2 linked regions of the Sus scrofa genome follow. The protein of the gene in region 1 interacts with the protein of each later gene in a pairwise test. Links are inferred from orthologs where the notes say so. Each region holds a gene or a part of one and is shown on either strand. Other genes may lie near its edges.

The links.
Region 2: the proteins of IPO13 (region 1) and PBX4 interact in binary tests that used the Homo sapiens proteins (3 or more experiments, as listed by UniProt). The link is inferred for Sus scrofa from reciprocal best matches to the Homo sapiens genes IPO13 and PBX4.

Annotation. Positions count from the first base shown.
Region 1 is NC_010448.4:167,326,995-167,331,010, forward strand, and holds the end of IPO13 (importin-13), read right to left. Parts: intron 1,790-4,016; coding exon 1,723-1,789; intron 1,636-1,722; coding exon 1,577-1,635; intron 1,424-1,576; coding exon 1,334-1,423; intron 1,042-1,333; coding exon 860-1,041; intron 767-859; coding exon 670-766; 3' UTR 593-669; downstream 1-592. UniProt on the Homo sapiens protein: Functions in nuclear protein import as nuclear transport receptor. Serves as receptor for nuclear localization signals (NLS) in cargo substrates.
Region 2 is NC_010444.4:58,301,653-58,305,911, reverse strand, and holds the start of PBX4 (pre-B-cell leukemia transcription factor 4), read right to left. Parts: upstream 2,847-4,259; 5' UTR 2,213-2,846; coding exon 1,680-2,212; intron 1-1,679.

The sequences.
Region 1 (4,016 bases):
GTGCATCCTCCCCCACAGGCTCAGTCCCACTTTCTCTGTTCCTCCTCAACCAAGGGCAAGTTTGGGTGTTTCCCTAACCCCGCACAAGAAACCCAGCCTGGAATTCAAAGCTACTCCGCATTTCTTCCCTCCCAAGTGGACCTGCCCCATCTCACTTCCAGCCCAAAGCCCCAAGTCCTCCACCTAGGAAACACCTATTCCCTTCAGAAATGAAACTTGCTCCATGCAGCCCTCCTCACGGGTCCCATTCCCCCAGCTCAGCTTGAGACTAGGTCGCCTTTGTTGAGACAGAATGAGAGGCTTGGTACTCAGCATTGTTGATTACATCAATGTGTGCATGCGTGAATAATGGGACGAACTTAACTGGACACCACTGCAGTCCCCACCTGCCGGAAGGGCAGGGCAGTTCTCGGAATGGTTCCCGCCTAGGCAGCTTGACTAGAGCAGTGCCCCTTCCACCCTAGGAGCTACAGGTTGGCCCCAGCACTCCCTACCAAGGCCTGGGTTCCAGCATCCCCCCATCCTTCCCCCAGGTCTTCCAAGGTCACCCCATTAGGGGGTAGTGGCAGTGGAAAGGAAGCGGAGACAGCAGTGCAGTGAGGACTCAGGTTTACTCTTTGGGGGCTGGGAGCGGTAAAGGAGGAAGTGTGGGCGGGACGGGGGCGCCCCTCAGTAGTCAGCTGTGTAATCTGTGCCATGCAGCCCCCGGCACAGAAGTGTGAATTCCTTCACCATCTCCTTCACTCGCCTCTTGTTTACCCGCTCGCTGAAGGAGCAAAGGGAGAGCAAGTTAGCACATCCACCCTGGCCTCCTCTGCCCCCCGCCGGCTCAAGCCCAGGCCCTGCCAGCTCTGCTCACCGAAGAATCTGTTGGCTGAAGGTGTCCTTCTGTTCAGGGCTGAGGCGGGCAGAGGGAAAGCCAGGTGACTGAAGTGCCTCCTTGATCCACACACTCAGGAGGCTGAAGCAGTGTTTGTTCAGAGCAAATAGGATGTCGGCAAAGCAGTCCATGAGGCTTCGGGAGGCCTGGCCCCCGATGGCCTGAGGGAGATGGGCTCTCAGCACACCAGGGCCTTGGCCTTTCTGCAGGAAGGATGCCCAGCCACAGGCACCCACTCCCCTGACAGGTTCTCAGCCCAATGCACCTAACAGTGCGTGCTTTTTAAGAGCCCGCTGATCCTCACAGCAGCCTAACAGCTCTCAGCCATTTGCTTGATGAACCAACAGGACCGGAGAGTTTAGGGAGCCAGAGGCTCAAGCTCCCCAGGAGGGCAGCTGCCTCCGCAGTGAAGGCCGCCCCACCCCGCTCCGTGCCCCGCTTGCTCCCTCTCACCTCCAGCACTGCTATGAGCAGCATGCGGCCGTCCTCCTGTACCACCTTCCCCACAGGTTCTACCTCCCCGCAGCGAGGCAGCAGCTCTGTCTACAGAGGGTGGAGAGGCCCGTCAGCCCCCGCTCTTTCCCCCTGTCTCCCTGGAGACGACACCAGCACACCACACCCTGACCTTCTGGAGTCCTGGGCAGGGCAGGCTGGGTATAGGGGTGGCGGGGGGTTAAGGGTTGGCGTGGGACTCACAAAGAAGCCACAGGAGGCCTTGACAGTAGGTGCTTCGGGGAACTTGAGGGCCAGCACAGCTGCGAGAGAGGCAGAGACACATGAGATGGGGCCCGAGCGTCCTCCCAAGGGGGCCCCAGGCCCCCCTGGCCCCTGGCCCCACTTACCACACTGGAACACAGCTTTGACATCCAGGCGTTCACACAGGAACAAGTCGGGCTTCCGCTTCAGAGCCTGCAGGATGTGGAGCTGGTAAGCCCAGCCCCGGCCAGCTCCAAGGACCATTCCCCCCCACTCACCTGCCACCCAGGCCCCAACTTTACACACCACGAGGAGAGGCTGCCAAAACCAGCCACCCGGCCGTCTCTGGGGGACCAGAGTTCAGCAGGTCCGGAGGGGAGTGGCCGAGGGATGCTACGCACGTGTATGTGTACATGAGTGCACAGGCGAATGGGAGGTTGGGGTCACGATGCAGAAAGTCTGGGTCCCGAGTCACCCCTGAGCAAACACCTCCCCACCCCACCCCCACTATCAGAGCCAGACCTCCTGCAGGCTCCAGGTTGCCAGCAGTAGCTTTGCTTTGATTCACAAGGGCAGTGGAGGCCCCCATGGGTTTGTTAACAGGGCAGCAGGAAGAAGAGGTGGCAGCTGGACCAACAGCCCCACTCCTGTGTCCCACCTGCATTCCTGAGACACCCTTCAGCTCAGGAAGAGGAAAAGCAGGGCAGGACTCTGGAGGCCAGGCCGCCCCTTTTCCTCAAGAGGCCCTGTGCCCAGGCCCTTCTCCACTGGACCCAGCCCGGAAGCCAGGGCTGCCAGGCTGCGGGGAGTGGATGGAGTACAGGGGCAGAGAGCCCACCCCAAGTGGTACCAGGACTGGCACATCCTCAGGCCACAGGAGATGCTCTGCACAGCTCCCACAGTCCTCAAGCACTGCTGTTCTCCAGCAGCCCCCAACGCACGCCACACGGACCCCTAACCCGCCAGCCCTCACACCCCTGCATGTTCACTCCCCCGGGTTCACGCGTGTGCACACAGCCCCCCATGCACCCTCACTTCACACACCCTACTTACCCTCTTCCACACACCTCTGCCACATCCCTTGTACGCACCACTCTCCCAGATGTGCAACACACGCTCGCTATGTATTCACAACCCAGCTCCCCCAACCACGTGTCCCCAAACCACGTCCACACACCTGTACCCTCAACCTCCTCAGGTCTCCAGCAGCTGCACTCTCCCCATACACACTCACAGATACACACGCAGATGCCTTCTCCCAGAGACGGCACCCTCACGGATACCCACACACACACACACGTCCACCCGGACCCAGGACACACTGCCCGTTCCCACTCCTCTCCTCCTCTCCCACTGGACGGTGGGTTCGTTCCAGGAGAGTAAGGGCTGTGCCCGCTTCTGCTCACCATTCTCAGCACCCAGCAGACTATCCAGCATGTGCTTCACACTCAAAAAGCATTTGTGGAGTGAGTAGGCAAAGAAACATCAGGTACCCCAACCCGCAGGAAATTCCTAACTCACAGAAGCCCCCGTCACACCAACCCCTCATCCCCACAGCCCGACACATATATCTTCCCAAACACACAACCCCTGATAGAGACAGCCAGCACCACAGCGTGTCTGCCTGCGCCCCGTAACACGCCCTCCCACAGCCCAACACGCACGCCTCCAACACACATCGACAGTCCAAAGCCATCAGTCTGCTGTAGAGCACAGGGAAGTGCATCTGCCGCTTGGGGTGGAGCGCGATGGAGGATCGCGTGAGCGAAAGAATGTGTGTGTACACACGAACGGCTGGGTCACTCTGCTGTACAGCAGAAACTGACAGGACACCTTAAATCAACTGTGATAGGGAAAATGCAACACACCTCAGAAGACTACCCACCAGGGCCTAACACACACCAACACACGACACACACGCCCACACGCCAACGACACATTTATCCTGACACCCAACGGCAACATGTGACTTCTGCTCCCTTCCCAAGCCGAACTCAAGACATACACATAAAGCCCAACACACGGCAAACGCATCTCACAAAGGAGCCAGCACCCCGCCTCCCAGCAGCAGCACGACCTGTCTGACGGCCCAGCTCTGGGCTCCACCGCAGCGCACTCAGCACCGTCCCTCCCTCGGAGCTCCTGGCGGCCTACCTCTCCAGAGCGGGCGGGGGGCACGGAGGCAGGCAGTTCCCGGCAGGAGCACGGGGACGACGGCCCCCAGGCCCTTCAACTCTGGTCCTGCCCTTGACCTTCTTGGGCACCCCAGCCGCACAGGAGCTGCTGGGCACAGTTACCGCCCCCTCCCTGCCCCACCGCCCCCGAGGCCGGCCCAGCTCCCTCCCTGGGGGATCAGCCTCTCCCTGGTCTGTGGAAGCCTGAGCTAGTTGAGGCAAAGGGACACTAAGGGAGGATGCTGTGTTGTCAACTTCCACGGAAA
Region 2 (4,259 bases), on another chromosome or scaffold:
CCTACGCCACAGCCACAGCAACATGGGATCTGAGCCTCATCTGCGACCTACATCACAGCTCATGGCAACGCCAAATCTTTAACCCACTGAGTGAGGCCAGGGATTGAACCTACATCCTCATGGATGCTAGTTGGGTTCATTACTGCTGAGCCATGACGGGAACTTCCCAGTGCACCTATTATGAAAATTACTTATAAGTTAGTCTCCCACACACCCTGAGTTACTTCTGAATGTGCTCTGAGAGGGCAGAGAATATCTTAGCCATCTTGGTTTCTGTAGCAGCACCCAGCACCATGCTCTAGTGGGGGTGAGGGTGGGGATGGGGGTGGGGGTGTGACACTCTTAACTTTCCAGAGAGAGGCCATAAAACTACAGAAATAGTTGACATTCCACAAGAAGCAAAGGAAAGAGTGTTTGAAGAATGAATGCAGGTCATATACAGATTTTACTTTGCCTCCTCCTTTTTTTGGGGCTGCTGTTCACCTGGCTTTGCAAGCCCTCCTCACTAGAAGTTTCTAAGAGGCATAGTCCACACCATCAGACCCTAGTCCCATCTACCTGGATCATCCCTTACACCCAAACAGGTCCCATTCCACAAGGCCTTGTCCTCCAAAAGGAGGTCATTCAGTGCTTTCTTTCTTTCTAATAATTCAAACAGGTTCCAAGCACAGTGGGGTGCTCTGTGAAGCCCATTCTACTAATCCTGGCTCACTAACAAGTGGTGGGTGGGGGTCAGTGAGACAGGTGGTCTTAAAACCCCTGTTTTTCCCACTGCAACTGAAATAAAATCCAAACCCTTTCCTGAGACTTGCAGGCTCCATGTGATTCAGTTCCAGACTCTCTCCACTCTACAGGACTTTCTGTCCCTTGGCTCTCCTTTCTTTCTGCCCTTCCCACCTTGGCGCCTCTCTGAAGGTGCTGTGCCCTCTCCACCTGGCTTCCTACAGCTTACCATCCCTTTACTTAAAGCTGTTCTCACAACTTACACTTATTTTTGCTACTTACTTTTTCTTCCTCAAACCATGAGCTTGAGAGCAGTGACTATGTCAGCATCCAGCTTGGTGCCCTGCACTTAGGGTCTAATTAATATTTGCCAAATTAATAAAAAAAAAAGGGGTCCTCCATTTCCCCCACTAACCTTTTGTTTTGGGTGGTTCCCACACCAAATCACCTCATCTCTTCATTCCTGAATCCCATTTCCCACAACTCATTCTCCATTACCTACCCTCCCAAACTTTCCATCCTCATAAATCCCACTGATCCATTTCCTCGTTCATCCTTCACAAATCGCATGTGCGCCCATTTCTTAGCCCTAACACTCCCTCCCCAACACTCCTCTTCCCCCTTACATTCCATAAACTTTCCATCCACAAACTCCCCCTCGCCCCAAGACAAACGCCTAAAACCCATCACCCACTGCTTAGCTCCATAAGCTCCCTTTCAATCCGTTTCATTTTAACCGGGTACATCCCTTTGGCCTCAGAGCCAAAGGACCTTTCCGTCCTCCTCAAGCCCTCCCCCCTCCACATGTGCCCTCCCTCTCTACGCCCAGAGACTCACCCCATCTCTCACCCTGCACCCTCCTCACCCCTCACGGCCCCAGCCATCCCAGCCCTGGCCCTTCCGCCCGCCCCCTCAATAAGCGACTTTAGGTGACTCCCGCCCAGCCCGCGCAGCACCTGGCCTGCGCCTCGTCCAGGCTCTGGTCGGTGATGGCCATGATCTGTTGCAGGACATCGGCCGTGTCGGAGTCCGGCGGGGGCGAGGGCGGCGGGCGGCGCGGGGCGGAGGGCGGCGGCGGGGGGTGCGAGGGGTGCTGCTGGGCGTCCATGAGCTGCGGGGCCGGGCCGGCACCTAACCAGTAGCCGCCGAGGTTAGAGAGCTCGCGCGGGCGCCCTAACCAACTGCTGCAGTCTGTGAGCCGCGCGCGCGGGCTTAGGCCCCGCCCACCGCCGCCTCCAGCCAACCGCAGCCAGCCCGGCGACGGCGCCCCACCCCAGGGACCCGCCCTACCATCGCCGCCAGCCAACAGCCGCGGGCCAAGCCGTCGCGCCCCGCGCACGAGTACTCCCCTAACTGCCCCTCTCAACCACCCAGGACATTTTTGGGGGGTTGCCAAGGCAACGACGCTTTCCACTCCCACCTTCCTCCAGGCCCCGAGAGCGCAACGTTGGCTTTGCTCTTCCTCAGAGACCCCCCCCACTTCCCACATCTCTGCCTCCTATACTCCCTCAGAGCAACCATTCCTGCTCAGAGACACTTCTCACAACCCCCGCAGCTCCTGAGAGCCCTCCTTTCCCAGAGAGCCCCAACATCCTAGAGGCCCTCAACTCTCCTCAGAGCCCCTACTCCTTGGGGACCTCACTTCTCAGGGCGCCTCTCTCCCCCAACTCTTCCTCACAGGCTGCCATGTCTCAGAGCACCTCACTCCTCACGGATCTGCACATCTTAGAGTCTTAACTTCTCAGGCCACCCCTCTTCCTCCAAGACACCCCTTCCTTCTCAGACTGCACCCGCCATTCCTCTCAGAGCCCCATCAACACCCCTCATTCATCTTCGGAAGCCCTGAGCCCCAGATACCTCCTCAGTCAGCTAATGCTCCCCTCAGCCTCAGTCCCGTCAGGTGGGTGACTTGGGCTCCTGGCCTCCTAGCTCCCCCTCCCCTGCCCCTAGTGTTCCATTTTCCATTGGTTGGGGGTGGGCATGGGAACGGGTATGATGAAGGTGACTGGGAGGTTAGAACTGAGTCATGTTCTCAGCTGCAAAAGTCAATTCTATTCATTTTCCAAGGTCCAGCTTAAGAATGACCTCACTTATTTGTTCATTCTTTTGCTCTACAGCATATTCTACTAGCACATGAAGGATGCTTTCTGATGACCTACACTTGGATGTACCCCAAATCAGAGGGAATCTTCACAGGCCTTTGTTTTTAGTTGTTAGGACTTCTGGCATCAGGGAAGGATTCTTGTGCAAGAGAAAAGGAACAGATCGGGCATAAATCATTTCTCCAAAGACACAGGACCTCCTAGAGCCTATCTGCTCTGAAGACAGAGTCCAGATGCAGGCTCATAAAAGGACCTCAACTTCCTGGGAACCCTTCAAGACAGGGTCCATATTCTTCCCATTGCTGTTGGAGAGGAAATGCAAACTCCAAACGGTATGACTGGATTTGGGCACTCCAAAGGGACTAGAAATGACTGATGTGGGCTAGTATAAGAACAATACAGTAAGCTCCCTAATAAAGGAAACCGGACACTTGGCCCCAGTGACATGAAGTACTCGAACATGTGGGGAGCATGGAGAGCTGGTACCTTGTACAAAAGGTCAGCCACTAGTGCAGGACCACACAGGAGGCCTGAAAAGTAGTAGATAATTTTAGCATCTGTCACAGAACAGTGGTTGGAGGAGAGGTTGAAAGCTTCAGGGACTATATGAGACAAAAACTTGAAGTCATCTGGTGGACAGGAGAGACCTACAAGAGAAGAAAAAAACTGATGGGACAAGATCTCAAAGGAAACCAGGGGAGTTCAGGTTCAAAGATTCTGATGCAAGAGCAGCCAACTCAGAGAAGGTGAAACAGGTAAGCTTTGAAGACCATGGGGCTCCCACCCCATAGGAAGTGCTTGGCTGTCTTGGCACTCAAAGTGATACTTCTGTCCAACAGGCCCAGAGCTCCATGGAGACAAGGACTGTGTCTTTCACAGGTGTGTGTCCATCCACGTGGTGGAAAGTGCTGGACTGGGTCATTTCTTCTGGAGATTCAGGGCCCAGGCCCAAGAAGCCAGGCTTCCTACCTTGAACCTAGTACCCCAGTTCATTTTTTCTTTCTTTCTTTTTTTTTTTTTTTTTTTTTTTTGCCTTTTCTAGGGCCACACCTGCGGCATAAGGAGGTTCCCAGGCCAAGGGTCTAATCGGAGCTGTAGCCACCAGCCTACACGAGAGCTATAGCAACATGGGATCTGAGCCACGTCTGCGACCTACACCACAGCTCACAGCAACGCCAGAACCTTAACCCACTGAGTGAGGCCAGGGATCAAACCCGCAACCTCATGCTTCCTAGTTGGACTCATTAACCACTGAGCCAAGATGGGAACTCCCCCCACTTCATTCTTGTCTCCTCACAGAGCTACTGTAGGGCAGGGGGTTTTCCTAAAGGGAAACCCAGCCCCATTTAATATAGAGAGACTAACATGTTTTTGATTCTTTTGCAATGCATGCTTTAGTAGTTTAAGAATTTGGCCTCTAATGGGAGGCTTGTG